Linked DNA regions of Arabidopsis thaliana. The protein of the gene in region 3 interacts with the protein of the main gene of each other region in a pairwise test. Each region holds a gene or a part of one and is shown on either strand. Other genes may lie near its edges.

Region 1 (11,369 bases), on a different chromosome or scaffold from region 3:
TTGTTTTATGAAGTCTAGGTGGCAAGCTATTAGATGCTAACGTATCAAGCTGTGAGAAAGAGTTAAGCTCCTTTCATATATATAATACAACTAAAAATTTGAATCGTCAAAGAAAAATACCTTTAAAACAGAAATTTTCTGATTTTAAAAGTGCAAAAAGGTTAGTAATGCCGAATTTTAACGGAGGCTATTTTGTCCAAAAAAGATTGTTAACTAGCGATGACTATGAGGCTTGAGATTCTTCACCAATAAATGCCGACTCGCTTGGATTAGGGATATATTTCATCAAGATACGTGATTACTGGTGCCCATGCATTTACATAGTAACTTTACATTGTTAAATTTAACATTTTGTCACTAGGTAATCTTACCTAAGAAAATTAAAAATTAAAAATATTATATTTTTTTGTTGAATAAGTAACACAACTTGTCATGATGGGACTATATCATTAACACAACTTGAAGCACCAACTACTTTAATTAATTTATAGCCTCTTCCCTCCATGGCTCTATCACCATAAGAAAACTTTAAGGTCATGTCTTTGGCTTGCACAATCCATTGACAATAGTATTACTATATATGAAGGAGCATTATTAAGCAATAGTATGTTATTGAGTTGTTTTTTTTTTATTTTAATGAATGACTTGAATAGTTTGTTTATCTGTACAAAATATCATAACAAAAATCAGAAGTCGAAACTATAATATCTAAACTACTCTTCCGTTCCATTTTAAATGATGTTTTAAGAAAATAATAATTATGATATATCATATATTAATGGTATTCTTTCGTTAAGAGGGAACATAAGTTATAATACATATATCATGTGATATTGATGCCTTGATGGTATTGTAGAGTTAGATATATATATATATATATATAATATTTCCACAGAATAATACACAAACAAAACAAACTAATTAAACTCTTTTAAAAACTAAAAAGGAGCATAAATCTATTTTCTTATAATTATGTGAGAAACGGATATTATTATTTATCACTTATTTTTTTTTGGTGAGAACTATGCCTTGGCTTTGGCTAGTGCTTTAAATATGGCCTTTAATGAGACAATCTCATTTGTCTATCTTTTTCACTAACAAAGAACAAAAATGGGTCTGGTAACAAAAGCTCTCAAATATCTCTTACTCCTTTCTATTTCCTTGACTTTCATCTACACCAATGCAGTTTCATCCGCTTCTCCAATGACTCCACCGTCATCGCCGGCTAAGATGAGCAGGAGACTTGTGGCAGTTGAAGGCATGGTTTATTGCAAGTCATGCAAGTATTCCGGCGTCGATACTCTCTTGGAAGCATCTCCTCTTCAAGGTCCGTTACATTATAACGTCCAATCTCTTTCAAAAAATTTAGTTACCATGTTTTTATCCTTTTTTTTGCCATGGGACCAAAATTGTAGGATTTACTTAATTGTATGTCTTAAACCTTTTTCATCTTTCAATAAAATATTTATATTATTAGCAAAAAAAAATAAAATTAGTTACCATGTAATCTCCTAGATCCATAACATCATAATTTACCGCAATTTTTTTTAATTAATTCCATGAAATTTAGTCTTCATATTAACTCATGTAGCAAGTTACATTTTGATTCTTGAATTAGTTTCGGTGTTTAAAGCATGTATGCATGCATTATACGGTCTCGCAGAAGATATTAGATATGTTCTATCCACTTGATGGCTACAAAATATGAGATGAAGTAGTGTTTGCCCCCAAAAAATAGTCTTGAGTTTAGGAAGTCTCATTATAGCTAACGATGCATGGTAGACATATTTCTGAATGAAGGAACTTGAATTAACGATTTTAATCCAAAAATTAGTGTGACTCAAATAAGCACTGATATGCTTAAGGTAAATTCCACTTATAGTGGTATTTGTATTTTTATAGTGTTGCATGCATGTTCTCTTCTTTTCAAACCAAACGACAAATTATTAGAAAACTTAAAACTGTATTTTAAAAAATTTACACATATGAAAAAAAATGTTACAATATGCATGGTACTTGTGCATTTCGCATTCGTCGAGTCTCTCACGCCACTTGGCTTTCATGCATCAAGTAAATCTTTTCGTTATTTTCAATGATAGGAGCGACCGTAAAGCTTGCATGCAACAACACAAAGAGAGGTGTGACAATGGAGACAAAAACAGACAAAAACGGATACTTCTTCATGCTAGCCCCAAAAAAACTCACCACCTACGCTTTCCACACGTGCCGGGCTTGGCCTACGAATCCTGGACCCACGACTGCAACGATGACATGCACCGTGCCGTCAAAGCTCAACAATGGAATAACCGGTGCTATGCTTAAGCCTTCTAAGACAATCAACATCGGTGAACACGACTACGTTCTCTTCTCTGTTGGTCCCTTCGCGTTTGAGCCTGCCTGTGCTCTTTGAAGACTATACTTTCGTTTTATGTATTTGGTGTGTGCTTGATTGTTATAATGATGATCACTAGTGATTTTAATGTTCTGTCTTGTTTGTTTTCTTGGTACGTTTCCATTTGAAATTTGTGTGTTTTGACATTATAAGATCGTTAGTGTGCATGTTTGTAGTAATTAGTACTATTTGTGGGGTTGATATGGTCTCAAACCATTGCTCTGACATTTCACAGTTTTATCAGTTGAAAACTTCAAGTAGGTACTTCCTTCTCCGGATCATTCATGAGATGGAAACCCAAATAAGGTTTTTGCTTGAAAATGTGAAATTTGGGAAGCCAGAAACGGCATCAGATATGGTTCTTGAAGAAGTTTGATCGACATAGTCCGGTTTATTTGCTGTGTAGTTCAGCCAACTAACGAAATCATCCCATCAGAGATAATGCCAAGATGGGCTGATATAGGTTGGTTTCTTGATGTTATGGTCAACACCGCAGTTTCCACACATCACTCATACTTCATCCTGTGGACACTTATGACATAAGCCATCGAGATATGATTATTAGAGGTGTGGCAACAGCATTCAGAAGTTTATTCCTATCGAACGCTAGATCTGAAGAAGAAGCTAACAAATTTGTTGACATGTCTTGAACTCTAGGCAGGCTTGGTACATCTGTTAATTATGTGATTTTTAATTCTTTTCATGAACTCATGTCTCTTCTTACATGTTTTTATTTGTTGATTTTGCTATCTCTACTATATATTTGCATAGTATCTGTATTGCTTTCGTTTCGGTTCTCTATATATATATATATAGAAGTAACATGTAACAATAACATTGCAAATTTGTAATGTATAACAAAATCATTGAAATATCAAGAATAGAGGTACAATATCATTAAATTAAACAAAACTTAATTATCAAGCAGCGGTATAAAGAGAAAATTTTGCAGAGTCGCATTATCGATCTGCTATGGCTTTAGGTTACTAATCTAAACCAAAAATACCAAATAAGCAAATAAACCACAAAGCAGAATAAAAGCAACCAATTGTATAAGTAAATTGAACACATCCTTTGACGACAGTCCCTCTCCGCCACAACATTTGACATGTCGTTTGGCCCAATAGAAACTCGCCACTAGAGCCATGATGAGGAGGAGACCAACAAGCAAGGTGGCTATAATAATGTAACCAATATTCTTCATATTGCTCTTCGAATTCACTGCACCAAAAATTTCTTCTTTTTAACTTTGTTTTGTGTCTTCTTCTTCTCCGGTATAGGTGATGTTTATATACACGTCTTGTCAACAGAAAAGTTAACATTTTTCACTAAGGAACATTGGAAGTTTTACATTTTACGGCACTTTCTTGATCCTCATACCATCATATATGTACACATGTATTTAGTGAATCAAAACTATTAAACTATTTTAACATTTTTCTTCTAAAATTAATAATTAATTTCTAAATTTCCTTAATTATTGTACAAAAAATTAAAAGCAATAAGTTTTTAAATTTCATTAATTATATGATGAAGAGTTTATATTTTTTTTCTCATTTTTCATTTTTTTTTAATTTTTTAATTACAAGATATATATAGTTTCTTTATGTTTAATTTTTTTTATATTTAATATTTTCTTAATTCAAAACTAAAATAATTATATTTCAATTTTTAGTTTATTTATTTATTTATAAGATACTAATAGTTTCTTTATATTTATCTTCTTTACTTTTCAATCCTTTTTAATTTTTATTTTTAAATTATAAGAGACATTTAGCTTTTTAATATTTATCTTCTTTACTTTTTAATCATAAATATTTTATGATAAATTAATTAAATTATGTATTGCTTGTTTTAGATACTGACATATCAAGCTGTGAGAGAGAGTTAAGCTTCTTTCATATATATAATACAACTAAAAAATTGAATCGTCAAAGAAAAATACCAGTAAAACAGAAATTTTCTGATTTTAAAAGGGCAAAAAGGTTAATAATGCCGAATTTTAACGAAGACGCTTTTGTCCGAAAAAGATTGTTAACTAGCGATGACTATGAGTCTTGAGATTCTTCACCAATAAATGCCGACTCGCTTGGATTAGGGATATATATCATCAAGATACGTGATTACTGGTGCCCATGCATTTACATAGTAATCTTACATTGTTAAATTTAACATTTTGTTACTATGTAATCTTACCTACGAAAATTAAAAATTAAAAATAATATATTTTTTTGTTGAATAAGTAACACAACTTGAAGCACCAACTACTTTGGTTTATACTAGAATTTCAAAACCAAAGAGAGTGAAATTGAAACAAACCGTTTAATACGTTCCTACAACCCGTGTAAAGCTTCTTCTGCTTACTATGAGATAAACTGTGTTTATTAAAAGAAGAGATAAAACGACAGATTAAGGACATACTCAATTTATTCCAATGTATTTCGTCGCTGTTGTTATGACATTACATAGCTTGATGTGAGAACATAGGTTATTTTGTCTAAAGAGTAACAATAGTTATGCCTTTTTTTCAGGCTCTTCACCAATCAATACCGAGTTGCTTGGAGAGGAATAGATTATCAAGATACGTGATTAATGGTGCCGATGAATTGACATAGCTTTGCATATGTATCTTAGCCGCCGCCTCTGTAACAACATTCATAAATAAATGAAAAAAACAATATCGTCAGCGAACATAATGAAGAAGAAACTCGATTTATGAAATCTCAAACAGAGATAGTATTGGAAAATTCAAAATCTAATATCCTACTGCCAAATGAACTTAAAACCAATGTGAATCTCAAAGAGTTCTCTCTTATGATACCAGGACTTATACAGGCCAAATATTGCCGTGATATCTACCTAATCCTGTGAAGACCTTGAAACTAATCTGACTACTTAAACTACTAGTTTATCAAACACACCATCCACTTTGAGCATATTAACTAGTTGATGAACTCACCATCCTCTTTGAGCATATTAAGTAGGTGAGCCCTTGTGGGAAGAGCATACATCCCAAGAGAAACAGCTTTCCGTATAGCCCATCCATGGTGGGGAGCAAACACTTGAGCATAAGACTTAGTTGCTGGATCCTTCAAGGAGTTATCTCCTCTGCAAAAGATATCAAACTACATTTCAATCTTCTAATCTTGACCAAAAATAAAAGAAAACTACAACAGGACTCCATTTTTTCATTTACTTCAGTGTCCATATTTAAATCACACATCCTACAAACTGGCACGGCTAATGCATTTGATCAAAATTTTCACAAGAACTCAAATAAGAGAGAGTTCAGAAGAATCACTTACTCGGAAGCTATGATCTGTTCAAAGAGAACTTTGACCATGTCAAGACCACGCTTAACCCTCAAAAGGTTTCTCGTATGACTACCAGCTTTCCTTACACAATCTGCCTCAATATCTTTGTCCATCATTACCACTAATGTCGATATCGAACTCGACGCCCTCACAAGATCATCAACCTATAGTCACATTCACAAGTTTTAACATTTCATTTTCCAAAACATTCATCCTCCAGATAAACAAACACAACATCCATTTCCATCAAATTAGCAAAATTCAGTCTGAGTACTACAGAAACTAAATCAATTCCAACATCTCACAATATACTCAATAGTACATGAAAGTGAACACAACTAGAAAAAGATTCGGACTTTGATTCAAATCTACTACATAAACAAACCTTGGCAACATAGTCCATTTCCGCAAACTTAAAAGCTATTCCAAGGCAACCAAAGAGAGGCGAGACCAGAGAGCAAGCGTGAGAGAATTGCGTTACAGGAACTTCCGGATTCGGTGAATTCACGATGATTGCTAGTTTTTTGAAAGCGGCTGAGATTTTTCTCAGTGGCTTATCTGCTTCCGAATCCGCCATGGAAGATCTCTCTCCTTCTCTCTCTCTGTCGTCTTCTCCTGATTAACAAGTTTTGTTCTTGTGTGATTATTCCGATTGGTGTTCTGTGATTTGCCGCGGAATCTACTTTGCTGCAAGACGACTCAAAAAGGCGGCGATTCGCTGATCACTAATTGTCTTTGTTTGGCGTTCAGATCATTCCTATCCTTCATCTGGATAGTATTATCCTCACCGTGTGAATGAATAACCGAATCCAACCGAAATAACCTGTAGGAATACCGAAATAATAGAATTGAATCCGAACCAAATTCGGTTTTGTGCAATTGAACCGAAGAAACATAAATACGTATGCTTAAACTATAGATAGTAGTTGGGCAATAGACTTGTGTTGAAGCTACTTGAAGAAAAGATGATGATGATGATGAATTATGAATAATGTTCAAGAATTAAGATATGAAGCTTTCATTGGGATACTTTAGTTAAAAAGATTATCATCATCAACAAATGTGATTTTTTTCAAACTTTCATTTATGTTCCACTCTGGCTATACATATTTTTGTTTTTCGATTCTTTTCATTGATTAAAACAAGGTACCAAAATTATAGGTAGGGGATAATAATATTTAGTGGGTTATACTAATAATTATTGGGTAGAAGGAATGGCGGATGCAATTATTTTGATTACTTATAAAAGATAGTGACATTAATTGATTCTTAGGTGGAGCTTATTTTAAAATTAATTGAAGATTTTTATGAGTAATAATTTAGGATAAGTAGAACACAAAAAATTTAAATTTTTTTAAAAAGGAATCTGTTTTCTTGACTTTTTGAGCACATCATTTTATCGTTGGTTAAATAAATAAAAACAATTTCATCAGTTTTCGAAAAACGTCCACTTGCCATTTAACTCTGCCTTTACGGTTTCCGCCAATTTAAAATTCTCTAAATTTTCAAACTTTTCTCTCTCACCATCAAATTCTCTAATTTATTCTCTTTTTATAATGTTCCTCTCTTTTCTTCTGGATAATTACTTTTCATTATAGTCCCTATACTACTATAATTATCCACAACTGTCTCATACTTTTATAACCGTTTTATCATTTTCACCGGGTAAACTTAGAAACAAAATTGAGTTTCCGACATCGCATGATAATTTTAAATGTAAGGTACTTGCATGGAACTTTAAAAAATAAGAGGGTGAAAAACATAAATTAAAGTATAATATAGGGGTGTATATTTTGGGTTAAACATATTACACAACACACTCTTCCGCTACACACTGTTTACACTGTTCCTTACTTTTTTTTCTTTTTCTTTCGCCAACATCTCTCTCTCCAGCTATTTTCCCTCAATTTTTAATCGTCGTTTTCACTTTTGTTCGATTCCATTCAAAAAAGCTTCAATCAGTGAGCTGCGTTTTTTATTCTCTGCTTCATCCAGATCTACATTTCTCTGTTTCAGCCTCTATTGCTCTGTTTAACAAGTTCTCAACGGCCGGAATCGTCGCCGGGATTCTCGCCACCGGAGTTATTGTGAAACGGTGAAAATGGGTTTTTGATTTTACTGGTTACTTCATTGTTCAGTGCAGTAAGTATTTATTTTCCTTGTCCTGTCTTACTATTGGTTTATTTCCTTAAATGAAGAAACTTTATTTTCCCCGAATTTCTTCATTGCTAAAAACTCTCACTTTCTGCAATTTCGTCTGCTTGTTTCACTCACAAGAATTTCACATTTTTTTCAAAAATAAACACTGCTTAATGCGGATTGGTTGTTCACAAAAGGACCAAAAAATCGTAGAAGGTAACCGACAGTGTTAGCTGAAAGAAGCCAGAAACTCTGTTTGTCTGTGTTCTTGAATTTAGACAATCTACTAAAGTCCGTACTTTTTTTATTAGTAAATCCTGTTATGACCGGACCCAATAAAGTAGAGTAATTGTTACATGCGCGTTCCATTCCAAACAATGTGCGTGGGCCACTTGGTCATTTGATTCTGTATTTTTACTTCGGAGAAATTTGGATACAACAAATAAAGTAGAGAGATTGTGTATAATGAATAAAGTTTCCTTTTTTTTGTTAATGATTTGATCATGCGTCTCTTCTGATTTGAGTTTCTTTTGTATCTGCATAAGTTTGGATTGATTTCACTATGGAGGAAGTAGCAGCTAAGGTTGAGGAAGAAACTGTGGAAACCAATGTAGATGCAGTGAAAGAGGACAATGCAACTATAGCTAATGAAAGCAGAAGCCCAGAGAGTGTTTCTGCAGTGTCTGTGGTGTCAAATCGAGCTGCTTCTACTAAAAAGAAACCAGTTATTAGTTCGAATTTAATAAAGCCAACTGCGTCTTCTTCATTACGGGTCTCGGGTACTACGCCTGTGACTATCAGGAGAAATAGTACTGGAGGAGTAACAGAGAATTTAGCTGGTACCTCTAAGGTTCTGCCTAAGCAAGTGAGTACTACTGCCTCACGTACTGATCCGGTAAGACGATCACTTCCAGAATTGAGGAAGAGCTCTGTGTCTTCTCTTTCTGCTAAGACTGTATCCAAACCAAGCCTTTCCGAGAGTAAAAAGTCTGTCCCCGTATCACCAGGTAGTCGGAGTTTGACAAAGTCAACTGGGTTTAGTTTAAGTAAGCCTGAGTCTTCTGCTAGACCAGCCATGAGTGTTTCTGTGTCTTCGAAAAGAGCTCCATCTTCATCAGTTGACAGTAGTGGCAGCAGGACTAGTAGTGGAAGACTACACTCTACTCTCACAAGTGGGAGGACAGTTTCTAAAGTTTCTTCTCCCTCTGCGGGATCATCACCTTCTGTTTCTAGCAGTATAAGATCAAAGTCATTTTCGTCACCTCTAGACCGGACTTCCAACTTCTCTGGACGGAAGAAAACATCTACCCCTGAAAGCCGTGATTCACGACTCATTATTCTTCCAAAGGTGGAGGTTAAAGCTGGCGATGACATGGTACAAATTCACTTTCTCTTTGTACTTGCTAGATTTTCATACAATAGGTTCAATCCTTTCTGTGGTTGTTGATTAATGGATGTCTGTAATTGCTTAAGAGATTGGATCTTAGAGGCCACAGGATTCGCAGTCTAACCTCTGGTGGCTTACACTTATCACCAAACTTAGAGGTAAACTTATATTTCCATAGTAACTTCACAGTGTTCTAGTGCAATGCTTTGTGACAATGATGTTTATGTACATATATGCCAATTGTGGATTTGAATAGAAGTAGGGAGGATTAGTTATTTACATCTCACGAGGAAAAACTTTGAATCTTCTTAGTGAGTTCCTGCTGCTAGTTTTAAAAATCTCCGAACGACAAATACAATCTTTTGGACACTAAATATGCCGCCTCATTTATGCGAGTATTCAACTTATTTTAATTTCCTCTACTTCTACTCTTTCCAGTTTGTCTATCTTAGAGACAATCTCCTATCTACGCTGGAAGGTATTGAGATATTGAATCGAGTCAAGGTCAGTAAATTCATTTTCCTGGGGTTCTTGGTTTTTAATAGATATATATGCTCACACTAGCTATGATTCTGTTACTATCATTAATCTCAGGTTCTGGATTTGAGTTTTAATGATTTCAAAGGGCCTGGATTTGAACCACTTGAGAATTGCAAAATGCTGCAGGTTTCTTTCTCTCCCATTCTATCCTTGGTTCTTCCTTCATGAGTGCTATCTGATGAACATTTAAATCTTATATTACTTGGGCAGCAACTTTATCTTGCTGGAAATCAGATAACTTCACTTGCTAGTCTGCCTCAACTTCCAAACTTAGAGGTGAGCATCAGAAATTACAAAGCCTCTTGTTCCAATTTTGTGCCAAATAATTGCTATCAAGTCTTCATACTTACATACTTGTGGATTGCCCCTTACTTTTTCCAACTATCACCTTTCTTGTTCCCATGGTAGTTTCTCTCGGTTGCTCAAAATAAATTAAAGTCACTTGCAATGGCAAGCCAGCCCCGGCTTCAGGTAGATTTTCTGTTTCAGAATTGAGGTTGTTTTCAGTACCTTGTTACAAGTCATAGTTTTTTAGAGATCTTATAAATTTTTTTTTCTCAGGTACTAGCAGCAAGTAAGAACAAGATAACAACTCTGAAGGACTTTCCGTATCTACCAGTTCTTGAGGTTTCAATCTTTATGTTCCCAATTTTTATTTTTTTCACACATTTCTTATTTGGCTGATTGGTTGTCGCATGCACTGCTTTAATAAAACATCTTATGGGACATGAGATTACCTAGTATAAAAGATTGAAAAACCACCACTTATGGGAAATTCTCTCCTCTGAACCAATGGTCCAATTTGAGTACTTAATTTTTTGGTAATGGCATTTGGCCCTGTTATAACAGAAACAATGTTCCATTAATTCAATACATATATACTAATACGTAGTTTGTAATTTCATATTGTGTTTTTCCTTTTACAGCATCTGCGGGTTGAGGAAAATCCATTGCTGAAGATTTCTCACTTGGAAGCGGCATCCATACTACTCGTAGGTCCTACCTTGAAGAAATTCAATGACAGAGGTACTCTTTTGTAGAACGAAGTGCTGTAGTTTGCTTAAGACTGATCGTTTCATGAGAAAGATGACTAGCATGTCTAAGTTTTCATTCATCATATGGCCTTCCAAGTAAGAATTTTTCTGATGGTGAAATCTGAGCAATAGCATGTTAGAAGAGGTAGGAGATTTTGCGATGTTAGATCAATGGAGATAAACACAAATGATTTTATCTTTATCAATTGTTTTTGATAATCTGGATGGAAACTACTTCTGAACGGTTGGATTTCTTGGAATTGTGGGAATAACACAACTAACATACTGGCTGTATTTTAAAAAATAATAACCGCAATGATTAAATATAAAAGATTTAGGAATGAAGTGTTTTACTGATACATTAGAAAGTATTCAGAAGTTGTTTCTTGGGATGTAGCTTGGCATTTATCTAGGTCTATGTGGTCCATGATAACCTTAAAATTTTTCTTTAGATCTCTCTCGTGAGGAAGTGGCAATTGCCAAGCGTTATCCTCCACAAACAGCTCTCTGCCTCAGAGAAGGTTGGGAGTTTTGCAAGTCTGATCTTGCAGCAGGTATGTATC
Region 2 (11,544 bases), about 15 Mb from region 3:
AATCCATATCCTTAAAGCTTAAGCTTAGCTTTAGATTAGAGACCTATATAATAAGAAATGCTGATGCTAAATATCAACGCTTACAATTATAACAATAATGAGTATGGTCCCTCGATGGAGTTCCACAGTTGTAGCAAAAAGCCAACCCACACCTGCCAAAATGTGTTTAAAAAGATATATAAAAACAATGTTTTTTAAAAACACTCTTGTTAAGAAGAAGAAGATACATATATATACCTGCACTTCATGTATAAGCAACCCTGAGATTTCTCAATATAGAATTTGCAAGAAGGACATCTTTTCCATTTCTTTTGCTTTGCCATCGTCGCAAGCAAAATATCATCTCTTCCTCTCTCGTTCGCCGCTAGCTTCTGAAACTCCTCGCAAGTCATCTCCGGATGCCACTGAGTCCCACACTCCACACACACCATTCTATGACAATGAGGACACTCCGAATCTTTCATCTTTACTTCACTCTCTTCTAAGAAAACCAAAGCAGAGCAATCCTTGTAAGGACAGTAGAATTTCTTCGAACGCATCACTACTGCTTCACACAAAGCATCACCCCACCGATCAAAAACCTCTTTAGGCAAAATCTGACGACACTGATCTGGCTCGAGCCGACCAGAACAACCAGAGACAGGACATTCGATTGAGAGAATGTTGTCTTGTAATTTAGCTGCTATATATTTCGAAACACAGTCGTTGCAGTAGAAGTGAGAGCATCCACCGATACGAAACGACTCAATTATGGATTTTGAATCAACACATATCTCACAGTCGAAAGTCGCCGTCTTTGACGAAGAAGACTGACCCTTTTCTCTGTGGATTGGTGGTGCGAAACAGAGGATTCTGATATCATCGTCTTCATCATCGTAAAGATCAAGATCTATGTAAATTGGAGATTCTGACTTGATTACGGTTTTGTGAGGAGGGTAGACCCAGAGACGTTGAAGTTTCCGATCACGATCGTAATTCTCAACGGAAATAGCATCACGCTTTGTGGAACCACGTGCAGAGAGAGGAGGAGTGGAGAAGATGAAACAATCGGAATTATCGCCGTCGTCGTTTACATCTCCGGGAAGATCAACGATCACTGCGTTAACTGACTGTGTCGCCATTTCAAAAATGATTCTAATTAGGTTTCGTCCACAATCAGAATTAGGGTTTATGAATCACTTACTACTTTTTGCTCTTTTGCATTGAATCACTTTCCATTTTCCAAAGCGTCTCACTTTTTGGCTTACTGCTAAAAAACCTAAATCGAATTTTTAATAATTGTCCGGTTCACGAACGAACCGGTCGGTTAGCAAAAAATTGTAATCCTTAAACCCATTTTGTTGCTTCACTCTCATCATCTTCTCTGGAAACTGAAAACTATGGCTTTCTCTTCATGTCTCAAATTCTATCCATTTTCTATCTCTCAAGCTGTAACCCTAACTCATCATTCCTTCTCTCTCAATCTAACTCCTCCTTCTTCTACCATCTCCTTCGCTTCTCCTCACTCAGCAGCTCTCTCCTCTACCGATGTCAAGCTTCTCGACTCACTCCGTAGCCAGCCTGATGATTCCGCCGCACTTCGTCTCTTTAATCTGGCCTCTAAGAAGCCAAATTTCTCACCTGAACCTGCTCTATACGAAGAGATTCTCCTTCGGCTAGGTCGGTCTGGTTCGTTTGATGACATGAAGAAAATTCTTGAAGACATGAAGAGTTCCAGATGCGAAATGGGTACTTCTACTTTCTTGATATTAATCGAGAGTTATGCTCAGTTCGAATTGCAAGATGAGATTTTAAGTGTTGTTGATTGGATGATTGACGAATTCGGGTTAAAACCCGATACCCATTTTTATAACCGGATGTTGAATCTTCTCGTTGATGGGAATAGTCTGAAACTCGTTGAGATTTCTCACGCGAAGATGAGTGTCTGGGGGATTAAACCAGATGTATCTACGTTTAATGTTTTGATCAAAGCTTTGTGTAGAGCTCATCAGCTTAGACCTGCGATTTTGATGTTGGAGGATATGCCTAGTTACGGTCTTGTTCCTGATGAGAAGACATTTACAACGGTTATGCAAGGCTATATTGAAGAAGGGGACTTGGATGGAGCTTTGAGGATTAGGGAACAGATGGTTGAGTTTGGTTGTTCATGGTCTAATGTGAGTGTTAATGTTATTGTTCATGGTTTTTGTAAGGAAGGGAGAGTCGAAGACGCTCTCAATTTCATTCAGGAGATGTCTAATCAAGACGGGTTTTTTCCGGATCAGTACACGTTTAATACGTTAGTTAATGGTTTGTGTAAAGCAGGGCATGTGAAGCATGCTATTGAGATTATGGATGTGATGCTTCAAGAAGGGTATGATCCAGATGTGTATACTTATAACTCGGTGATTTCGGGTTTGTGTAAGCTTGGAGAGGTGAAAGAAGCAGTGGAGGTTCTTGATCAGATGATTACTAGAGATTGTTCTCCGAACACGGTTACTTACAACACTTTGATCAGCACGTTATGTAAAGAGAATCAGGTCGAGGAAGCTACGGAGCTTGCCCGTGTTCTCACCAGCAAAGGGATCCTTCCTGACGTTTGTACATTTAACTCTTTGATCCAAGGTTTGTGTTTGACTAGGAATCACCGGGTTGCGATGGAGTTGTTTGAAGAGATGAGGAGCAAAGGATGTGAGCCTGACGAGTTCACTTACAATATGCTGATTGATAGCTTATGCTCCAAAGGGAAGCTAGATGAAGCTCTGAACATGCTTAAACAAATGGAATTGAGTGGTTGTGCACGGAGTGTGATAACTTACAACACTTTGATTGATGGGTTTTGCAAAGCCAACAAGACTAGAGAAGCCGAGGAGATATTTGATGAGATGGAAGTACATGGAGTTTCAAGAAACTCTGTTACATACAACACACTCATCGATGGGCTTTGTAAAAGCAGGCGAGTAGAGGACGCGGCTCAGCTCATGGATCAAATGATTATGGAAGGACAGAAACCTGACAAGTACACATACAACTCGCTTTTAACACATTTCTGCAGAGGAGGTGACATAAAGAAAGCTGCGGATATCGTGCAAGCCATGACCTCAAATGGGTGTGAACCAGACATTGTGACCTATGGAACCTTGATAAGCGGTTTGTGTAAAGCTGGTAGAGTTGAAGTTGCAAGTAAGCTTTTGAGGTCAATTCAGATGAAAGGGATTAATTTGACACCGCATGCTTATAATCCGGTGATTCAAGGGTTGTTTAGAAAGAGGAAAACAACAGAAGCTATAAATTTGTTTAGAGAAATGCTTGAACAGAATGAAGCTCCACCAGATGCAGTATCCTACAGAATCGTTTTCCGTGGGCTATGTAATGGAGGTGGACCAATCCGTGAAGCAGTGGACTTTCTTGTTGAGCTGTTAGAGAAAGGATTTGTACCTGAGTTTTCTTCTTTGTACATGTTGGCTGAAGGTCTTCTCACTTTGTCAATGGAAGAAACACTAGTCAAGTTAGTGAACATGGTGATGCAGAAAGCTAGATTCTCGGAGGAAGAGGTTTCAATGGTGAAAGGTTTGCTTAAAATCAGGAAATTTCAGGACGCTTTGGCCACTCTTGGCGGCGTCTTGGACAGTCGCCAGCCGAGGAGAACCTACCGGTCAAGATGATAGATACCTTTAGAAAAAGTATCGTTCCCAATTTCGTAGAAGATATGTATGATGTTATGAATATGATTTCCTATAAAGTTTTGGGGTAATTCATCCATTTAATACTATGTTCGAAGACCAACATGCAGAAACAAAACGACAATGGAGTGTGCGGTGTTAGGTGTTCCTCATTCGTTGGGTCATCCTCTCTCGTCCACTTCTAGTCTCTATGGTCTCTCGTCCTTACTGTTTGTATATGTATTATGTAGGCTCCGATTGTTTTTGGCATTGATGCTAGCGTTTTCAGATTATTGACTATAAGAGAAAAACCTAGACATGATCTCTTTTATTCTCCGGTTAACTTGGCAGATTTCAGACCAACCCGGTCAAATCCTGTGGTCCTATGGTCAGTCCACTATGCTTCAATAACTATCCTCGGTCGTAATTTCAACCACAACCACAAGCGTCGTGTCCTCAACAATATACTGTATATGCTATAGTCATTATTGTTGGGGTCAGTGGGGTTCCGATTCTCCACTAAAACTTTTCTGGTATAAGTGTATGTTTGTTCAATCAAGCAGATCAGTCCACATATGTATCAGTAGATGACGGTTTCGTCACTCGTAGATAAATTATCATTGCCACTTGTATCACTACTTCCACATCCACTAGTGGATTTTGTATGGATCACACCAAAACATTCTTTGAACCTACTATATACTTTTACCCTTTATAGAATAGTGCCAAAACAAGATAATTTATGCGTTTCGAGAACCAAAACATTATCACGCTACGAACAACGGAACAAGGCAATTTTGAGAAAAAGAATGTTCAGTTGTGGTTACAGTTGAAGATAAATTTAAATTGTGAAAGACTAAAACCGAAAATCTTTAGCAAACAATCGGCTATGGATCTTGTACAAATACGTTACTCCTTAACACATGAAGAAAAGATATCAAGAAACCGCCAACTTATGAAGAAAAACGCAGACCTGTGGGTATGGATGAACATGGTTTTAAGATGAAGACCATTCTTATCTTCTATTCAGACCACGATGGTCCCAGCCTTAATTAATTATACACTTCTCACCGGCATTCTGAATCACCTATCCGAAGAAAGATGAATATAACGTTACTGCTATATTTAACTGTTAAAGCTACATGACCTTAAAGGTTGCTTACCCTTAGAGAAAACCTCCACCAGTCCAAGCGGTGTCTGATTTCCCGTTGTGACCAGCAGATTTCTTATCGCCTGCACTTTGGTAATGACCATCGAACCCATCATCTTTGGCATCATGATCATCCCAACCAGTCCAACCATCATCATCATTAGAAGCAGATGACCCCTTTGGAGCTACTGCTTCTGTCTTCTTATTCTCATTCTCTCCCCAACTATCCCAAGAATTTGAATTCTGCGAGTTGTTGTAATGACCACTTGTCGATGATGATTGTGGCCTTCCTCCTCCAACAGATGAATTCGCTGCTTTGTTCCCATTTCCAAAGTTCTGGTAGTAACCATTGCCCTCATTTTCACTCTGCTGATTCCAGCTTGTTGATCCTTCTTTAGTAAACTCTTCTACCTTCTGTGTCGCCATTGCCATTACTCCTTTCATGATTCCCCATGTCCTATGTCCTATCTCTGTTGTCTTATTAGCAACTACATTTACAGTTTCACTCACCTTGTGATCATACCCACCTTCCTTCACCTGCAATAAAATGGTTTCTTATCTGATTTTGACTCCACTTTTCCAAAACTCTATTGCCAGCAGTATTATGGTAAACAAGAATTCTACAGAGAGCATCTAAGAATTGTGCTTTCTACAGAGTTAAAGATTCTCACTAGACGTGTCGTTGAGGCATCAAGCAACGCAGTAACTAGATATTTCACAAACTCTATGCAAATCAAGCAGAGAGTACAGATAGTTAGTTACCTTGGATGTGAACTCCTTGGTTCCTGTTTGAACAACACTAGCAGCTGACTGAGCTGCAGATGCAGCAACCAGAGACAGTCTTCCAAAACCCTTAGCAATTTTTAAACACGAATCAACACACAAAACGTAATTCACCGAATTCAAAAAGGAATTGCAAAACATTCATTCAATTCACCTGAGAAACAACGGAGAAAACATCATCCTGTTGATTATTTCTCGGTGGTGGAGCCGAGCTTGATCCGAATCCTACATACTTGCCACCTTGCGAAGGAGGAAGACCTTCAGGCTTAGACTCATTCTCCGCCATTCTCCTCGCGAAGAAACTCTCTTTCCCAGCGGCAGAAGCCTCAAGCTGCGATCGCGTGTAGATATCCTCCGACGACTTTGACTTCACATGTGCACCTTCTCTATTTCCCGATGCCCTGAAATCATTCGCTGACTGATTCCTTCTCATATCAGATTTGTAAGAATCATCGTTATCCCAACTATCCCATCCTCCATTGTTATTGTTATTGTTGTTTCCGTAACCGCCCTGAGCCAACGGAGGCTTCTTATTCGCTTCCTTAACAACTGGCGGATCATTCCATGGTCTACCTTCAGCTAAAGCTTGGATCCGGTCACGATACACAGAAGCAGCGTTCGAATTGTACTTGGAGATAATATCTGTCTCCTTAGCGATTCCGTATTGCGCGAAGAATTTGTTGAGCCGTTCGTTACCACCAGCTTCCATTTTCTTAATCTGGATCGCAGACCATGAATCCATGGTTACGGATCTGACGAAGGATATGTGAACGCCTAAGCCTCGGTGTTTCCCGGAGCATTCCAAACACATGAAGATTCCGTACGAAACCGACGCCCATTGAGGATTCTTCTGAGCGCAATCGACACATACCTTGTTTTCAGGCTGAGATTGGAGAGTTCGTAATTGTCTCGTCGCCGCCATGTTTCCCGGAGCTCCGAACGATGATCAATCCAACCTGAATCAGATCTAATCCAAATCTCGCAGACTTGTGCTGCTCAGATTGATGCGTTTTTTTTTCTTTTCCGTTTTTTCTCTTCTTCCTAATAAATGTTCGGGGTTTTTTTTGGTACGTGTCTCTGGCACGTGAGAGGTTTCCGGTAGTTTCTCAAATGGCCCAAATGATAATTGTATTTACTATTTAGTCCAAATATGAAATTATATGTAGACGATGCCCAAGATGCCCAATCATGGTTATTTATATGTAGACGATCTTACAATTCTTACTCAAGAGCTATCTATATATTGTAGATAAACTACATCTTCAACTAACCACTTTAACCATGCATTAAGCCGAAGTTTAAGTACTAGATCAATTTATTTATTGTTATCATACATTTGTGTCTCCGTTAATACTTAGAGAAGACTCACTAACAATTTTGGAAACCGTAATATCCTCTACATGAGCTTTGTTGTGTTGTTGAACCACAAGGATTGATGGAATGATGTGGTTGATCGAAGAGGCGAGCACGTCTCCGATAGGACCTAACTCAGGATGTTCAGCTTGACGCTCAGCTAATGCCGCCACCTCGGCCGACGGTATCCTCCCTCTTCCAACCACTATTAGATCAAAGTCTTTACTCTGTCCTATTGACAGTATTTCTTCAATGATGTTGTTTGGTTCCTTTTCTTTGTACTCCACCATTTCTTTCCATTTGCTCTTGAAGTCTTCCAATGCCCCTTCGTCTAATTCCTATAATTATTTTTCCAAGAAAGAAAGCTATAGTTATATTTGTCATAACTGGTATATAAACATAGGGGATCAAAAGAGATTTACCTTTTCTTTTTCTGGATCCACGTTGGTTGTTAAAAAGGCATAGTTCTTCTCCTTGCCTTTAGACGGTGCCGGTCGTAAAGTGACGGCGGTACTCCTCAACGTTTCTCTTACCAAAAACCTAATAACGGTAACTTTAACGGCCGGATGCTCAGCCATTCTCCCGCCGAGCTCTATAGACTCACGGTCATCAGGCCCACCAAAGAAAATCACACAAACCCTTTCAACCACATTCGACCCATCTAAGCTCAAAGTTTGGGCCTCAATGGACCCAAGTCCACGGTCTACAAGAACCGCCACCGAACACGGCGCATTCTTCAAAACCCTTTGGTTAACCAATCGCCAACCATGACCAACGTTTTCCGGTACGTTTCCATCTCCTCCTCCGTCTTGGTGGTGGTGGCTATGACCATGATCAGCGTTCCATCGTTTGTGGAAAGGTAAAATGATCATTGTGACCCTCTTGGTATCTGCCATGTGGCAAATGTCTTCGTGCATTGTGGGTAATGGAGAGACTGCGGTGATGGGCCGGACTGCGACCCGGCCTAGTTGACGATAGGCTTCGAAGCCTCCTATGACGTTGCTGTGACGCTCACCATGACGGTAACGGTGAACGAAAGGAAGTCCGTTTTTACGGGCTCTTTGCACCATTATGATTGACGAAGACCGTTCCGTTAGTTCCATCAGATGCATCACAAACAGCTTTAGCCGTAGTATCTGCCAAAACAAATACGACTTTTTAAATTATTAACCAAGATTATAAATTATTACCCAGCTGATTTTTAATTTTAACTATACAAAATGTGTGTAATTATACGTAGGATACATTTTCATTGAGCATTTCAATGATATCTTAATTTTCTGATATAACTCTTATCATAGATTTACAAATTTAAATATAGATTATTGTAACGTAAAAATATAAAAGAAAGGTAATTTACCTTGGTGGTTCGGATGGACTCGACGAGAGAGATGAGGGAGGAGACATTGGCTGGGCCGTGGAGGCAGGCTAGGATGCGAAGCTCTTCCTTGGTGGAGTCTTGGCTCGCCGACAAGTCTTTTAGTTTGCGGTGGGTGCCACGTGCCGGCTTGTAAATGGCCATTACAGTAGGCGTCGTTATGAACGTTGTGAAGAGTGCCATTAGCACTAGTATTGCAAACGTCTCGTCGTTTAGTACCTGGTTAAAGTCAACCCCGCGTACAAACAGTTTAATTAAAAATAACCACACTTACTACATTAATGGGTAATCATTATTTCACTTTATTGTTGCATTATGAAGAAGATCATAAATCTGCAAGTGGATCAGTAAGTGACGATTACGTAAACATTGGCCCATTCGAAAAGGTATATTCGTATAAAGTTTTCATGCAGAAAAAAAAATAAAAATAAAGTTTTCATGCATGCATATATATGACTAGTCCTTAATTGATCAGTTTTTCTTTATTACCCCAAAACAATAAGAAACGCCTTTATAATAAAAGTGTAGTATATAACTATAATCTTTGTTGGGAAGACACGTTTAAACAAAAAATTTTATATACTACATATTTCCAGAAGCATTATAGTATAATCTTGCACATATATTTAAGATAAAAATGTTTATTTCGGAGGTGACAAAAGAATCACGGACTAATGTTTTGAAGCTACCATTGCTAACTGCATCATCTTCGATGCACATAGTAAACTTAGCTATCAAATTGCAACCGTGTCCATCAGTCTATGATTAATGAACTGCAGATTTGTATTATGGTGACTAATATTACTATACAACGGTTGAGAGCAAACCTAGCTATCAAATTGCAACCGTGTCTATTATAGTGATAGTAAACCTAGCAGCCCGGCTCAATATTTTATTGGGCCCTGTGCTACAAACAAAAATAGCCCTTAAATCTAAACAAAATAACTTTATGTGACATGTGTTTACTGTATTTTTATTTTAAACTTATTATCTTTTATTTTGGTGGTTGTTTTTTTTGTAGTTTTCCCCTTAAAAAAAAAAAAACTGCAAACTAGAAGACTTAAAATTAAGAAAAAAAAATGAGGACCCTGTGTACTAGCACCTCTGGCACTCCCCTAGAGCCGGGCCTGCCTAGCTATCAATTTGAATTTATACAACGGTTGGTTAATGTTCAAATAAAACATAAGCAATTTTACTATTCCGGATCCCCGACCAGCCTACCAATATTGAGCGGACCGGACGCATATACACATGGATCCAACTAGAACCTAAATTTTTAAATATATCTAAACACCCTAAAATAAAGGTATAGATGCGATTAAATCAATATAATAATCGTATTTTGTTTTATATGCTTTATCCACTAAACATGATCAAATAACTTTAGTGTTACTAGGTTTTTTATATTTATAATATTCATCAGATAACTAAAAGCGTAAACAAGAACCTTAAAAAATCAGAAAAAAGGAAGACAAAACTAACCTTTTTCTCCTTGCCTATGTTGAGTACAATGAGCTCCACTAAACCTTTAGTATTCATCAAGAAACCAAGTGTCAACGCCTCTCTCGCCGGAACTTTAACCATCACCGCCACAACAAAAGTTCCGACTATCTTCCCGGCACAAGCCGTAACAACAACAAGACCCAACATCCCCCACGACTCAGCTCCTCTAATCTTAGCCACGTCAGTCTTCAAACCACTCGTAGCGAAATAAAGCGGTAAGAGTAAACCGGAAACAAAATCCTCAATTCGTTCAATCAATCGCTGACCAAACTCTCCATCTTTCGGTATAGTCAAACCGAAAACAAACGCTCCAAAAATCGAATGAATCCCAATTAAATCCGTCGCGAAACCGGAAACCATAACACCGGCTAACGTCAAACACACGTAAGACTCGCGTACGACGTCGTTTTCAGGAGATCCACGTTTCGCGACCCATTTCATTCCGGGTCGGATCACAACCAACATAAAAACCACAAACCCAGCGCCCGATAACAAAACCCACAACGACACTAACGGACTCTTTTTCTCTCCACCTCCCTCACCGCCATTACCCGCTAACGCAACCGCTAAAGCGAGTAAAATCCACGCGGCTACATCGTTAAAAGCGGCTGCAGCCATCGCGGTTTCTCCTATCTGAGTCGTTAAAAGCTTGAGCTCTGCTAAAATACGCGCAAGTACCGGAAAAGCTGTGATCGAGAGTGCGACTCCCATGAAAACGAGAAACTCGGCGTAACCTGGTTTATCCGCGGCGGTGTAGAGAGTGTTACGGATCACAAACGCGACTCCGACGCCGGCGATAAACGGTAGTGTAATTCCAGCGACTGCGATTCCGAAAGCGCGTTTGCCGCTTCGTCGGATCGATGATAAATCGAGTTCTAGACCGACGAGGAAGAGGAAGAAGAGAAGTCCTATGCTCGCGACGGATTCGAGTATCGGCATACTCCATTTCGGAAATATACGGTCCATGTACGCCATGTTTCTACCTAAAGCCGATGGTCCTAACAAAATCCCTCCCTGAAGAAGAAGACGATGGCAGAATTGTAAATTAAGAAGATTATTATGGTAAAATTGTAAATAGTTAGTGTGTGTGGGGTTAGAGTGTAATTTTTAACGTACGACAATCTCGGCGATGACTTTGGGTTGACGGAGAGGTTTGAATAAGACGGCGAGGAAGCGACTGACGGCGATGATTAACGCCGTTTGGACGATGAGTAACGGAAAAGCGAAGTTTAAAGGATTGTCGCCTTGCCATACTCCGTTAGATGAGGTTTTCACGGAGGTTATGTTGAAGGGCATTTTGGGGATTTCAAAGGACTCTCTTATCGACGACTTTTTTTTTTTGTTTTGTTCTCGTCTATATTTGGAACATGTGATATAGTTCAAGTATGAAGAAGATATGTGAAGAAATTTATAGGCAAAAATTATAAATGTATTGGTTTGAAGATTCAAAAAAGTAATTATGTTGTTACTTGTAATTTTGGTGCATCTCACGTGTGACTAGACCTTGAGTGGAAGTATTTGGTTTTTTTTTTTTTTCTTATGATATTTGTTTTTTTAGTAGAAAATTTAAAAACCATTAGATTTTGGGTGCTATAATTAGAAACCATCTATGTCTTTGAATTGTTCATGTTTACAATAAAGTATAGAAAGTAAAAATCTACTCAAAAACAATTTGTGGTTGCTATAACTCATTCTTATCAGTTTTATTTCAAGCAAAACTAATAACATAAATTTAG
Region 3 (10,834 bases):
TTAATGATGGGTTACACAATTATATTTACTTTCACCAATTTACACTGGTGTTGTGTGGTTTGTTTTGCAGACACCTCAAGCAGGAAGAGAAACGGTGTATGGATGAATTGCAATGCAACATTGTGGTGATGAAGCGTTCGCAGGCAAAAGTTCTACGCTTAAACCTTGTTGGATCTCCTAAGAAAGATGCTGGAAAAGAGTGTCCCTTACCATCTGGACCAGAAGCAGCATCTGAGAAACACTCAAAGAACACTAAAGGATTGTTAGATGCTGATAGAGGACTACCTGTCACTCCTACTAGCAGCCCTGAGCTGGGGACACCGTTCACAAGTACAGAAGCCGGGACTTCATCTGTGTCGAGCTCCGACCTGGGAACTTCACCTTTCTTCACATTGGGAATGAACGGATACATGAAGAAGGATGGAGCATTGGTGATCAAGGAGAATGATGGTCTTGATGATTCTGGCTCTGAAACAGAGAGTGAAAACCAATCATTAGCGTCAACGAGTATGAGATTCCAGCCATGGATATCAGAATATATTGGCACCCATCGCCACTCATCCCAGGAGGCCGAAGAAAGCTTATTATGGAAAAATGATGACAGGGCACAAATATCCACTACAAAGGCTTTGCTTGAAAAGTTCTCTAAACTTGATGTTGAAGTTGGGTTGTCGTCTAGTCGAAGGATGGATTTAGAGTTTAGTGGAAACGTAAGAGATGCAATATCACTCTCTCGAAGTGCTCCTCCTGGTCCACCTCCTCTCTGTTCAATTTGCCAGCACAAGGCGCCAGTATTTGGGAAACCCCCAAGGCTGTTTACATACGCTGAATTAGAGCTTGCAACGGGTGGGTTTTCACAGGCTAACTTCTTGGCTGAGGGTGGTTATGGATCTGTTCATCGGGGTGTGCTACCAGAAGGCCAGGTAGTTGCAGTAAAGCAACACAAATTGGCCAGTTCTCAAGGAGATGTAGAGTTTTGCTCCGAAGTGGAAGTTCTCAGCTGTGCTCAGCACAGAAACGTCGTTATGCTAATTGGTTTCTGCATTGAAGACAGCAGACGGCTCTTGGTCTATGAATACATTTGCAATGGTTCACTTGACTCTCATCTATACGGTAATATTTGCTTAAAATTCACATGTGCCTTGGTAATACTAATTCATATTTTATCCAAAAAAAAAATGTTGCTTAAAATTTCCATTGAAGCTCTTGTGGTGAAAAATGTTTGCTCAGTATCAAGCTCTTTTCTAGGTCGTCAAAAGGAAACTCTGGAATGGCCAGCACGGCAAAAGATTGCTGTTGGAGCTGCAAGAGGTCTTCGGTATCTTCACGAAGAGTGCAGAGTTGGCTGTATTGTCCACAGAGACATGCGTCCTAACAACATCCTCATCACTCATGATAATGAGCCACTGGTATGTATAAATATGGTCTTGCTCATTCATCGTAACAGCAGATATCCACTGTTTCATATGCTTTTTCGTCCTGAGTCAACTTTGATAATATCATCAGGTTGGAGATTTTGGTCTAGCAAGATGGCAGCCTGATGGGGAAATGGGTGTAGATACACGAGTGATAGGAACCTTCGGGTGAGACACCTACTAAAGCTATCATTTTGCTCCTGAAACTTAACAATTTGTCTGTTGCTAAAAGAAATTGCTTGGTTGGTGTGCAGCTATCTAGCTCCCGAATATGCTCAAAGCGGGCAAATCACAGAAAAAGCTGATGTCTACTCGTTCGGGGTTGTTCTAGTTGAGCTAGTCACTGGCCGCAAAGCCATTGATATCACCAGGCCGAAAGGCCAGCAATGCCTGACTGAATGGGTAATGATTTCATATCTTTAGTTTTCAGCAAAGTAACAGAACTGACTCTCCTTTTGTGGCTTGTGATCTCAGGCACGTCCTCTACTGGAAGAATATGCGATAGATGAACTTATCGATCCGAGGCTTGGGAACCGTTTTGTAGAAAGTGAGGTCATTTGTATGCTTCATGCAGCTTCGTTGTGCATACGTAGAGATCCACATTTGAGGCCACGCATGTCTCAGGTAACCAAAAGCTCTTCTTGAAATCACTCTTCAGTCTCAGTCTCAGGATCATTCAGTTTAAGTTTCTGATGATACTAAAACTTCTGGTAAATAATGAAGGTGTTGCGTATACTGGAAGGAGATATGATAATGGATGGAAACTACGCATCAACTCCAGGTTCAGAGGCAGGCAACCGAAGCGGGAGGTTCTGGGCGGATCATTACAGCGGTCAGCTAACGAATGATGGCTCGGATAGGTTCAGTGAAAGGCTGTCTGTTGAAACGCCAAGACTAGCTTTGAGGGAGAGGGAAAGAAGCCAGAGGTTTGAACTAAACCATAACAAGCAATACTAATCACACTACTTTGCTTTATGATAAGTTTAGTTGATAGGGTATTTAGTAAAGTCCTCTGTTTTAAGTGATGTGGTCCAAAGCTGGCAACACAGCTTTTTTTGTTTGTATAGTGGGGTAAGATGCAAAAACAGTTGCTAAATATGTTATCAAGGAATTTAAAATTGTTTTTGGTAAAGGAGTATTAAAAGAACAAAACAACAAGAGAGGCTTTTTCTCCTTTTTTCGAATTTGAATTATTGGTTTAGGAGAGTCAATAGAATTGTTCTGCAGAAGAAAACAAAACAATGAGAGGGCTTCCTTCTCCTTACGACATCGACATTGGAAGTCTTCAAAATTGTAATAATGGTGCATGAGAGAGAAGTCATGTTTGAATCTGACTTTGCCTGTCAATACAGTGATGCGTTGGTCCTCAGTATCTTTTCTACTTATCCGCATCACCAATTATCAAAAAATTTCAAAATTGAACACACAAGAAAAGCCCAAAGATGGCGAGGACTTTGGTGGGGCAGTACGTTCAGAGGTTCCATGGATTTTACTCACTGGATCATGACAAATATCTGATTGTCTCTTTCTATCAACGTGCTCATAACAACATAAGATTTTGGAGATCTTATTAGTAAATCTTGAATAAATATATTCATATGTATCTCTTAAGTCAGTGTCAGCATAGAAGGATTCATCTTCATGACAACAAATAGTAAGTGAAGATTTAAAATAAGAAATACAGCTTTCATTTGCTTATGATCTCTATATATCTTGTTTTCATAAGAGACTACCATTGGCATATGGTACATTATCCACCACATTCTTCATTTGAGAAGTGAGGCTTTGTGGTTATGATAATCTTTTACTGTTTCCTCATCTTTGATCTTGCATATCTGGAAGAACCAAAAACCAGGGTGTGACATTGGGGTAGCTGTAATGACTATGAGAGTAATAATCTGGCAAAATTTGAATTTTAAACTAATTGTTGAACAAGTGTAAGAAAAACTACTCTTACTCTATATGCATGCCGCCTCGGTCTGAAGAGGATAAGAGGTTCCCTTGAAGATGATTCATGGCATCAGTAGCTTGCTCGATTTCCTGCAATTGGTGAGAGTGGGTATATAGACTACAAAGACAAAATCAAAAGCATGTATAACAACTTATACCTCAAAATCAGCAAATGCAACCGGCATTCCGCCTCTAGCTCGGATTTTTAAAATGTGGAAACCAGGATATCTGTAAGCAAATGGATCAGATCAATCGACTTTCGGAAAGGCAAAAACCAATGATTGTTTGAAGAAACATTCAAACCCTAATGCTGTAGGTTTCAGTCATTGTACAAGGTTACCTAGATAGGAGTTGTTTGAGTTCATCTTCTGTACAATTAGGCCCTAGATTAGCTATAAACAAGGTCGAACAAGCTCGAGCACCAGAACCTCCTTCAGATGCTTTCTCTAAGTGCCCCTGTAGAAATCTATCAGTAAGCTACTGAACCATAAGGAAGTCTATATGGAAGTATCTTACAGTAAGTAACAAATAAGATTTTATTAATCTTCAACGAACTTGAGAAATAGAGATATCTCAACTGGTTAAAAAGATTAGATTTTTGGCTTGGACTTACATTAGCAGATGGTGCTTTACTATCTGGCTCAGAATCCGCTTCGCTGTAAATTTGCAAAGAAATCAGAATACATTAGTCTTCTTCTTTTGACCTAAAAAACTACAAAACCAAGCTTCTAATTGTCATTTTCAACCTTTTGGTAGTATCGTTTTCCTTTGGAGAATCGCTATTTCCAGGTTCCTGCACCTCATCTGGATCGCTATCCCCTAGATGCATCAACAATGATCAAGCAGAAACATAAAGCATTCATACATTTAAATAATTAGGAGTCCACAAGGTAACCAGAACATTACCTTCATCACTCTGGTCATCCTGAGACTTAGAAATTTCCTTGTTTCTGTTATCAATCACAACATAAGGTCCACTTCCTATCCACATAGACTGTTCATTACTCATTGATCGATTTACCAACCACACTAACTCAATAGTAAGAAGAGAGTAAAGTCTAGAAAATACCTGGCCTTTCTTTTCTTCTAGAGTTTGATCTAGCTAGTTCTATATGTAGATTTGATCCTGTTTGAGGATCAAATTTCACACCCTAAAAGAAATGCTTCACCACAATCAAATAACACAATGTAACAATAGAGTCACACAATTCGATCAAAGTGAATCTTACATTTAGCTCATTCATTGCAGCCAAGGCGAATCTATGACTCGTGAATGTTGCAAATGCCACAACCTGAAGATAGGTAACTTCAGAAAGCTTAAACATCGATAGAATCACAAAGTATACAGCTTTTCTAAAAATGGGAATAAAAAAAAACAGAAATTGGAGATTTTTACAAACCTGGTCACCGCGTCCAGTGTACTTGAGCTGACAAGATTCGAATCCATGACGACGACGGAAGAGATTGTGGATCTCACGAGCCTTAACGTCATTAGGCAAGCCAGAGACAAAGAGAGTGTTAATCGCCCCAGGTTCGTCGGCGAGCAGTGGCAGCTGCGGCGGAAGATGATGAGGATGAGAATGAAGTTGATAGACGTAGAAAGGATCGTACGGTTGGTGATACGCCATTTTCCTCTAGCCGGCGGCGAGGTTGACGGTTGTATTAAGCGCCGGCGAAGAGAGCTGACGTGTAAATGGAAGTGTGAGACACACTGTTTAAATGTAAAAATATGTTCCTTTTTGAATTTTATGGGCTGATACTATTGGGCCTTAATGAATGGCCCAATAAGGCGCCAAAAAGTGATAAAAGTAAGCAGCCCGCCAAAAACAAGAAGCGAAGACTTTGACATTATTAAGTTTGTTCATACTTCAAAACTTAAAAACAGAGAGAGAATCAAACCAAACTTACACGGTTACACCATAAACTATAATTACACATAAGATGATCAAAAACAATAGAATATACATAAAAATGGAGATCAATCGTTTTAAGACGAAGGGTGTGACGTCAGTCCTGAAGTCTCAGTCGTCGCCGCTTCTTCATCCAAAAAAAGATCATCCGTCTTCCTAATCACCGCATGGATCAGAACCAACACAGCTCCGGCCATCAACGCCGCAACAATATTAAACGTCGCGTTGGTCAATAGAAGTAGAACGATGGTAATCACCGATAGACCAATCAAGACCGCACGATCGTCGATTTGAAACCTGAACACCTTGAGAGGCACATCACGGAGAAAATAAAGGAAGATCCATAGGAAAACCAAACCGGTAAAGACGATGAGCGAGGTCGGATGCCAAATCAAGCTGAAGAATATGACGTTCAAGATTACGATTGCGTAATTACTACGGAAGTAAGCAAGATTTGTCTTGATTCTTGAGAAAACATCGGAGACGCCGTGAGGTAGTCCCGTGGAGTGTAAATCGAACATCACCCTCCAGGAGCGGCGCGTGGCTAGTCCGTCTTTGATACGTTGCTTAGCGCGTGAGATAGACTCGTGATTCACTGCCGGAGATGCATGAGACGACGTGGTAATCTCGTCGTTGTTCGCCATTAGTGAATAAGATGACTTGATTGAAATAATGTAAAACTGTTCTGATTTATTGTTTTATCTCTCTGTGTATAATATATGAAGAAGGTCTCTTGAATTTGCATATGGAATAAAACCAAATAAATTAGATGGTGTGTTAAAACATTAGACCGAGTTTTTTTCCGTAGAAATTTTGTGATATTATTACAATAATGTAGCGTGATGTTATATATATATAAAAGGATGTAGCGTTATGATCTGATTCAATTTGGTCAATGTCTGAAAGTCGATCGAGTTCCTGGAATATGAAGTTGGAAGAATTAAATAGAAAAACTTGGTCTGCCACGTCCAGTGTACTTGAGTCTTGAGTGGATAAGATTATGGGGATGAGGATGATGTCGATAGACGTAGTTAAGATCGTAATGTTGGTGATACGCCACTTTAAACCGGTTTGCTTCTAATTGGCGGCAAGTGTGGCGGTGGTATTAAGCGCCGGCGAAGGGAGCTGACGCGTACAAAGATGTGTATGCTCAATACTGTTAGACCATCTCCATCAGTAAGGAAAGTTTTTCAAAAAATTAAAATATTAATATTTTAATTAAGACAGATATATTAATTGTTATTTAATAGTTAAACTAATAATAGGATAACAGCTGTCCAAATTGAATGAGAATAGTTTCTCAAAGTTTCTCCTCCAAGAAACTTAATTCTCCTTCTCTCCTACTTTTTCTTCCTTCTCTCTTACTTTTTCCTTTTTTATTATATTTTTTTTATTGGGTATCTCATTGAAAGACTACTGATGAAGATGCTCTTACATATCTAATGGCGTCCGTTTAGAATTACATGGGCTAGAATATTTGTGCCTTTTGAAAGACCTAATTATATATAAGGATTTTTGCTTCAAATCTTTACATTGGAAATTTGAATAAGGCCTGCATATATATCAAGGATTTTTGCTTCAAATTGCTCATTTGTGTGACCCAAATGAAAAAAGAACTTAAATCAAGACCAAACTTTTTTTCCTACTTTGAAGGTGAACCAACCTGAATAAACTTTACAACAAAAATTGATTATTTTTTTGTTACGGAATGCAAAAAGGGAATATTCATTACAACCCATTTTGAATTTATAATGTTTGACTTATTAATTTGATTATTTATTATGTATTTCAGATTAAATCATTTTAAATATTTCAGATTAATAAATCATTCCAAGAAATTATTCCTGAGTTTTGCGAATATAAAATACTCCCTCCGTCCCACTAAGATGAATTTTTTAGAAATTGCACATTTTTTAAGAAATATTGTATAAACATAATTTTAACCTCTTAATATATTTTAAAAATAATAATAAATATTTATCTAATTATTTAGTAAGGGTAAAACGGGAAAACAATTTTAAAATTTGCATTGCAAATATAAAATTTCTATCTTTGTAAGACAAATATTTTTCCTAAAAAATTTATCTTTTATGGACAGAGGGAGTAATAAAAATTATAACAAATTAGAATTGTTCAAACTTCAGACAGAGCTCAAAACTCAGAAAACAAAAGAGAGAGAGAAAGTCTCAAACCAAACTCACACCAATAAAAATTGATTACGCATAATTAAAAAAACAAGATAATATACAAAAATAGAAAAGATACACAAATTTCGAGATGAAACGATTTAAGTCGACGGGTATGACGTCAGCCCAGAAGTCTCAGTCGTCGCCGCTTCTTCATCCAAGAAAAGATCCTCCGTCTTCCTAACCACCGAATGGATCAAAACCAACACAGCTCCGGTCACAAGCGCTCCAACAATATTAAACGTCGCGTTGGTCAACAGGAGTAAAACGACGGTTAACACCGATAAAACAATCAAGACCGTCCGATCATCGATCTGAAACCGGAACAGCTTGATAGGCTCATCACGGAGAAAATACAGAAAGATCCAAACAACGACCAAGACGGTGAAGACGATGAGCGATGTCGGATGCCAGATCAAGCTGAAGAAGATAACGATCAAGACAACGATTGCGTAGTTCATACGGAAGTAAGCAAGATTGGTCTTGATTCTTGTGAACGCATCGGAGACACCGTGAGGCAGTCCCATGGAGTGGAAATCGAACATCACTCTCCAAGCACGGCGCGTGGCTAGCCCGGCTTTGATACGGTGTTTAGCGCGTGAGAGAGACTCGACATCCACCAACGGAGATGCATGAGACGACGTCGGAATCGCACCGTAGTTCGTCATTAGTAATATCGGGTTATGGTTTAGCGCGTGTGAGATTGAATAGAGAAAGTAAATGAAAAGACTGTTTGTTATGTGTATATATGAATTCTGAAAGGTCCCAAGAATTAGGTGATACACATTTGCATATGGCGTTTTCTAAACTAATCTATGTTTATGAAATAAAACAAAATTTAATTAGATCGTGTTTTAAAAAGATTACAATATAGTGTAACGTGAGGATTTGATTCACTACTTGGTCAATGTCTGAAAAGTATAAGTTTTAGATACTCGAGATTTGGGTAACAGCAATTTATAAGTAGATGAATTACTACATGTTGAAGGACTATATAGTTAATTTGAAAGACTAATGATAAAGTAAGAGACACGGTGTCACCGAGCGAGAGTGGCATTATTGAATAGTCGATACAGGCTACACGTGACCCCATTTTAGAGGAGTCTCTCTGGCATATAACTACTCTTTCGCCACGTGTAATGTCGGCAGGAACAATGAGTAAATTATTTATAGTCTCCCTCGGACTTTATCATGATTTTTAGTCAGCCCAATTACAAAAGATATTGGCCCAATACAACGAAGGTTTCATGTCACATGCTCTCTCTCCATTGGACGATCCACATCGATAGGCTTCTTTAGCGAGCCAGACTCATGGCTGCTTTAGAATTGATCCCGCTCTGTGAAACAAGAAAATAGTTAGCTTGTGTCAAAGCACAATACATATAAGATCAAAACTATACCAAAATGTATGATGGATTACAAAAATCTTAAGTTTTTCTCCATAAGAACCAGAGAAACCTATTCAACAAGATTGCTTAAATCAAAGGTATATTATATAATGTAGCTTTCGTTACAAGTAAGCAGAGAAGCAAATACATATATGTAAATCAAGTAGTACCAGATCCACATCACCTATTTTCAAAATAATTCTACATTTTTGTATATCTCAAGGTCTTCCAACAGTCTCTAGTGTCTGCCGCAGCAAACAAAGGTTCTCTCACGACTGTTCAGGGAGACTAATTAATCCCAATAGATGGGGGATATGTTTCACTGTTACCATTACCAATCTTATATGATCACCACCCACTAGAACTAAATGGTGATATACTCATTATATACTCTTATTGTTCCAATGGTTAGTGATCATACAAGATTCGTGATTGTAAAACGTATCCGCCATCTCTTGGATTAGTATCTCTGAAATTGTCTACTTACATGAAAAAAAAAGTTAGTGTTCTCCATGGCCATGCAAACTTCACCAAAAAAAAGCTATAACAACGGAATTTCGGGCTGGACTTATCATCAGCCAAACGAGAAATAACTAACAATAAATGAAAATCAAGGTCTTGAAAAACTCAAAATAGGGAATAAAAACAAGAAAAGGCTCAACGGCGGCGATAACATAAGAAATACCTATTTGCCTAAACAGTTGCCCGTCTTTGCCAATATATAGGCTTTTCTATTATGCAACTTTTGGGCCTTTAACAGGCTTAACGGATGGATCTCTTAAAAGTGAAGCCCTCTTATCCAAATCAATTCTAAAGGCTATTGTGTTAACATAAACAACTCGTAGTTACAATAGTGAGAAAAATGTAATATAGTACAATTAGTGGTTAGATCTGGTTGTTAGTGATGTTCAGTTGAAACAACACAACTTTCTTGTCTTGTCACGTTGTTTAAATCAATTTCAGTGGGTTGTTATGTTAATTACATCATATCATATAAGTGGAGGAGAAATAATATGACTTTGCTTAATCATTCATTATTACATCTAAAACTATTAGAGACTATTCAGAAAAGAGAAAACCATCACCCAGTTAAAAATTAAAAAAATAACTAGTAACTGTAAAATTGCTTAGGAAGCGTTGGCGTAAGCTAATGCTTCTCTGGATCCGTTAATGTCTTCAAAAATTTCCTAAATCTATTGTAGCTTTGTTTTTACTTTTTTTGCCAAAGTTGCTTTTGTACTGGTTTTCTTTGTAACGCCACAACTTCATTATTAATGATATTAACATATTTAGCAAAAAAACTGTAAAATTGCTTGAAATAGATGTAGACTATCATAATATCTTTATTAGACCATTCTTTTGGAAATATATAAATGATTGAACCAGAATTATAACTTTTCTGTAATGATTTTCTTAGTTAATAATTTAATATACGAAGAGGAATAGTCGTCCTTAACATTTAAAAAAAAAAAAGAGAGAGAGGAAATAGTCATGAAAATTAGGATTCTATATCATATGCATAATTATCATACACCTTTGTACTTCAAAAAAAAAATATATATATATATATATATATACGGTCAACAAAAAGGTTTTGTGATTCTGTCCTTATTTGCCTTGTGAAGGAATACGACAAAATAGTTGGCATGTGTGCTATCGTCTTCCACACGTGTGAATCATTTTTTGTCTCCAAACTCCATCATGTTCTCTTTTTTTCTTACCTTTTGCTGTCTCACTATCTTTTTCACTTCCCACTTACAAAACACTCGTGTGACTTCTTTAACCTTTTAGAGTTTGATAATGCAAAACTGATTCTCCATTTTTCACTTAAGAAAAATGATTTATATTCTTTTGATCCAAATGGGTAATTTGTTCTTCATATGCACCGTTGGGAAGTTTATGATTGTGTCTTCTTCTGCTATCCATCTGCATATCATAATCACCAACATATTTTCAAATAAGTCTCTGTATATCGTTTAAGAGTT

Evidence for each region.
Region 1: the proteins of PRA8 (region 3) and ACD11 interact in a two-hybrid assay, tested with the Arabidopsis thaliana proteins (one study listed by BioGRID).
Region 2: the proteins of PRA8 (region 3) and AGD6 interact in binary tests that used the Arabidopsis thaliana proteins (3 or more experiments, as listed by UniProt).

Annotation. Positions count from the first base shown.
Region 1 is NC_003071.7:14,625,339-14,636,707, reverse strand, and holds ACD11 (Glycolipid transfer protein (GLTP) family protein), read right to left. Parts: upstream 6,723-11,369; 5' UTR 6,284-6,722; coding exon 6,092-6,283; intron 5,871-6,091; coding exon 5,698-5,870; intron 5,501-5,697; coding exon 5,352-5,500; intron 5,036-5,351; coding exon 4,929-5,035; 3' UTR 4,626-4,928; downstream 1-4,625. Other genes in the region: AT2G34700 (Pollen Ole e 1 allergen and extensin family protein), read left to right, coding at 1,111-1,327, 2,100-2,410; AIR9 (Outer arm dynein light chain 1 protein), read left to right, coding at 7,899-8,061, 8,391-9,220, 9,319-9,390, 9,671-9,736, 9,827-9,898, 9,983-10,048, 10,181-10,243, 10,334-10,399 and 2 more. UniProt on the Arabidopsis thaliana protein: Exhibits selective intermembrane transfer of ceramide-1-phosphate (C1P) and phytoceramide-1-phosphate. Does not transport ceramide (Cer) or GalCer, suggesting a requirement for phosphate in the headgroup for functionality.
Region 2 is NC_003074.8:19,898,924-19,910,467, forward strand, and holds AGD6 (ARF-GAP domain 6), read right to left. Parts: upstream 6,668-11,544; 5' UTR 6,497-6,667; coding exon 5,729-6,496; intron 5,644-5,728; coding exon 5,554-5,643; intron 5,329-5,553; coding exon 4,807-5,328; 3' UTR 4,805-4,806; exon of another isoform or gene 4,729-4,804; 3' UTR 4,324-4,728; downstream 1-4,323. Other genes in the region: AT3G53690 (RING/U-box superfamily protein), read right to left, coding at 74-152, 238-1,121; MEE40 (Pentatricopeptide repeat (PPR) superfamily protein), read left to right, coding at 1,380-3,644; CHX20 (cation/H+ exchanger 20), read right to left, coding at 6,903-7,265, 7,350-8,063, 8,288-8,524, 9,788-10,822, 10,925-11,104. UniProt on the Arabidopsis thaliana protein: GTPase-activating protein (GAP) for ADP ribosylation factor (ARF).
Region 3 is NC_003074.8:4,487,640-4,498,473, forward strand, and holds PRA8 (PRA1 (Prenylated rab acceptor) family protein), read right to left. Parts: upstream 9,162-10,834; 5' UTR 8,130-9,161; coding exon 7,563-8,129; 3' UTR 7,340-7,562; downstream 1-7,339. Other genes in the region: AT3G13690 (kinase with adenine nucleotide alpha hydrolases-like domain-containing protein), read left to right, coding at 71-1,113, 1,249-1,409, 1,507-1,583, 1,670-1,817, 1,890-2,039, 2,139-2,372; AT3G13700 (RNA-binding (RRM/RBD/RNP motifs) family protein), read right to left, coding at 3,369-3,455, 3,524-3,593, 3,706-3,821, 3,979-4,021, 4,112-4,184, 4,272-4,346, 4,435-4,516, 4,595-4,657 and 1 more; PRA1.F4 (prenylated RAB acceptor 1.F4), read right to left, coding at 5,353-5,919; CYP90D1 (cytochrome P450, family 90, subfamily D, polypeptide 1), read right to left, coding at 10,691-10,775. UniProt on the Arabidopsis thaliana protein: May be involved in both secretory and endocytic intracellular trafficking in the endosomal/prevacuolar compartments.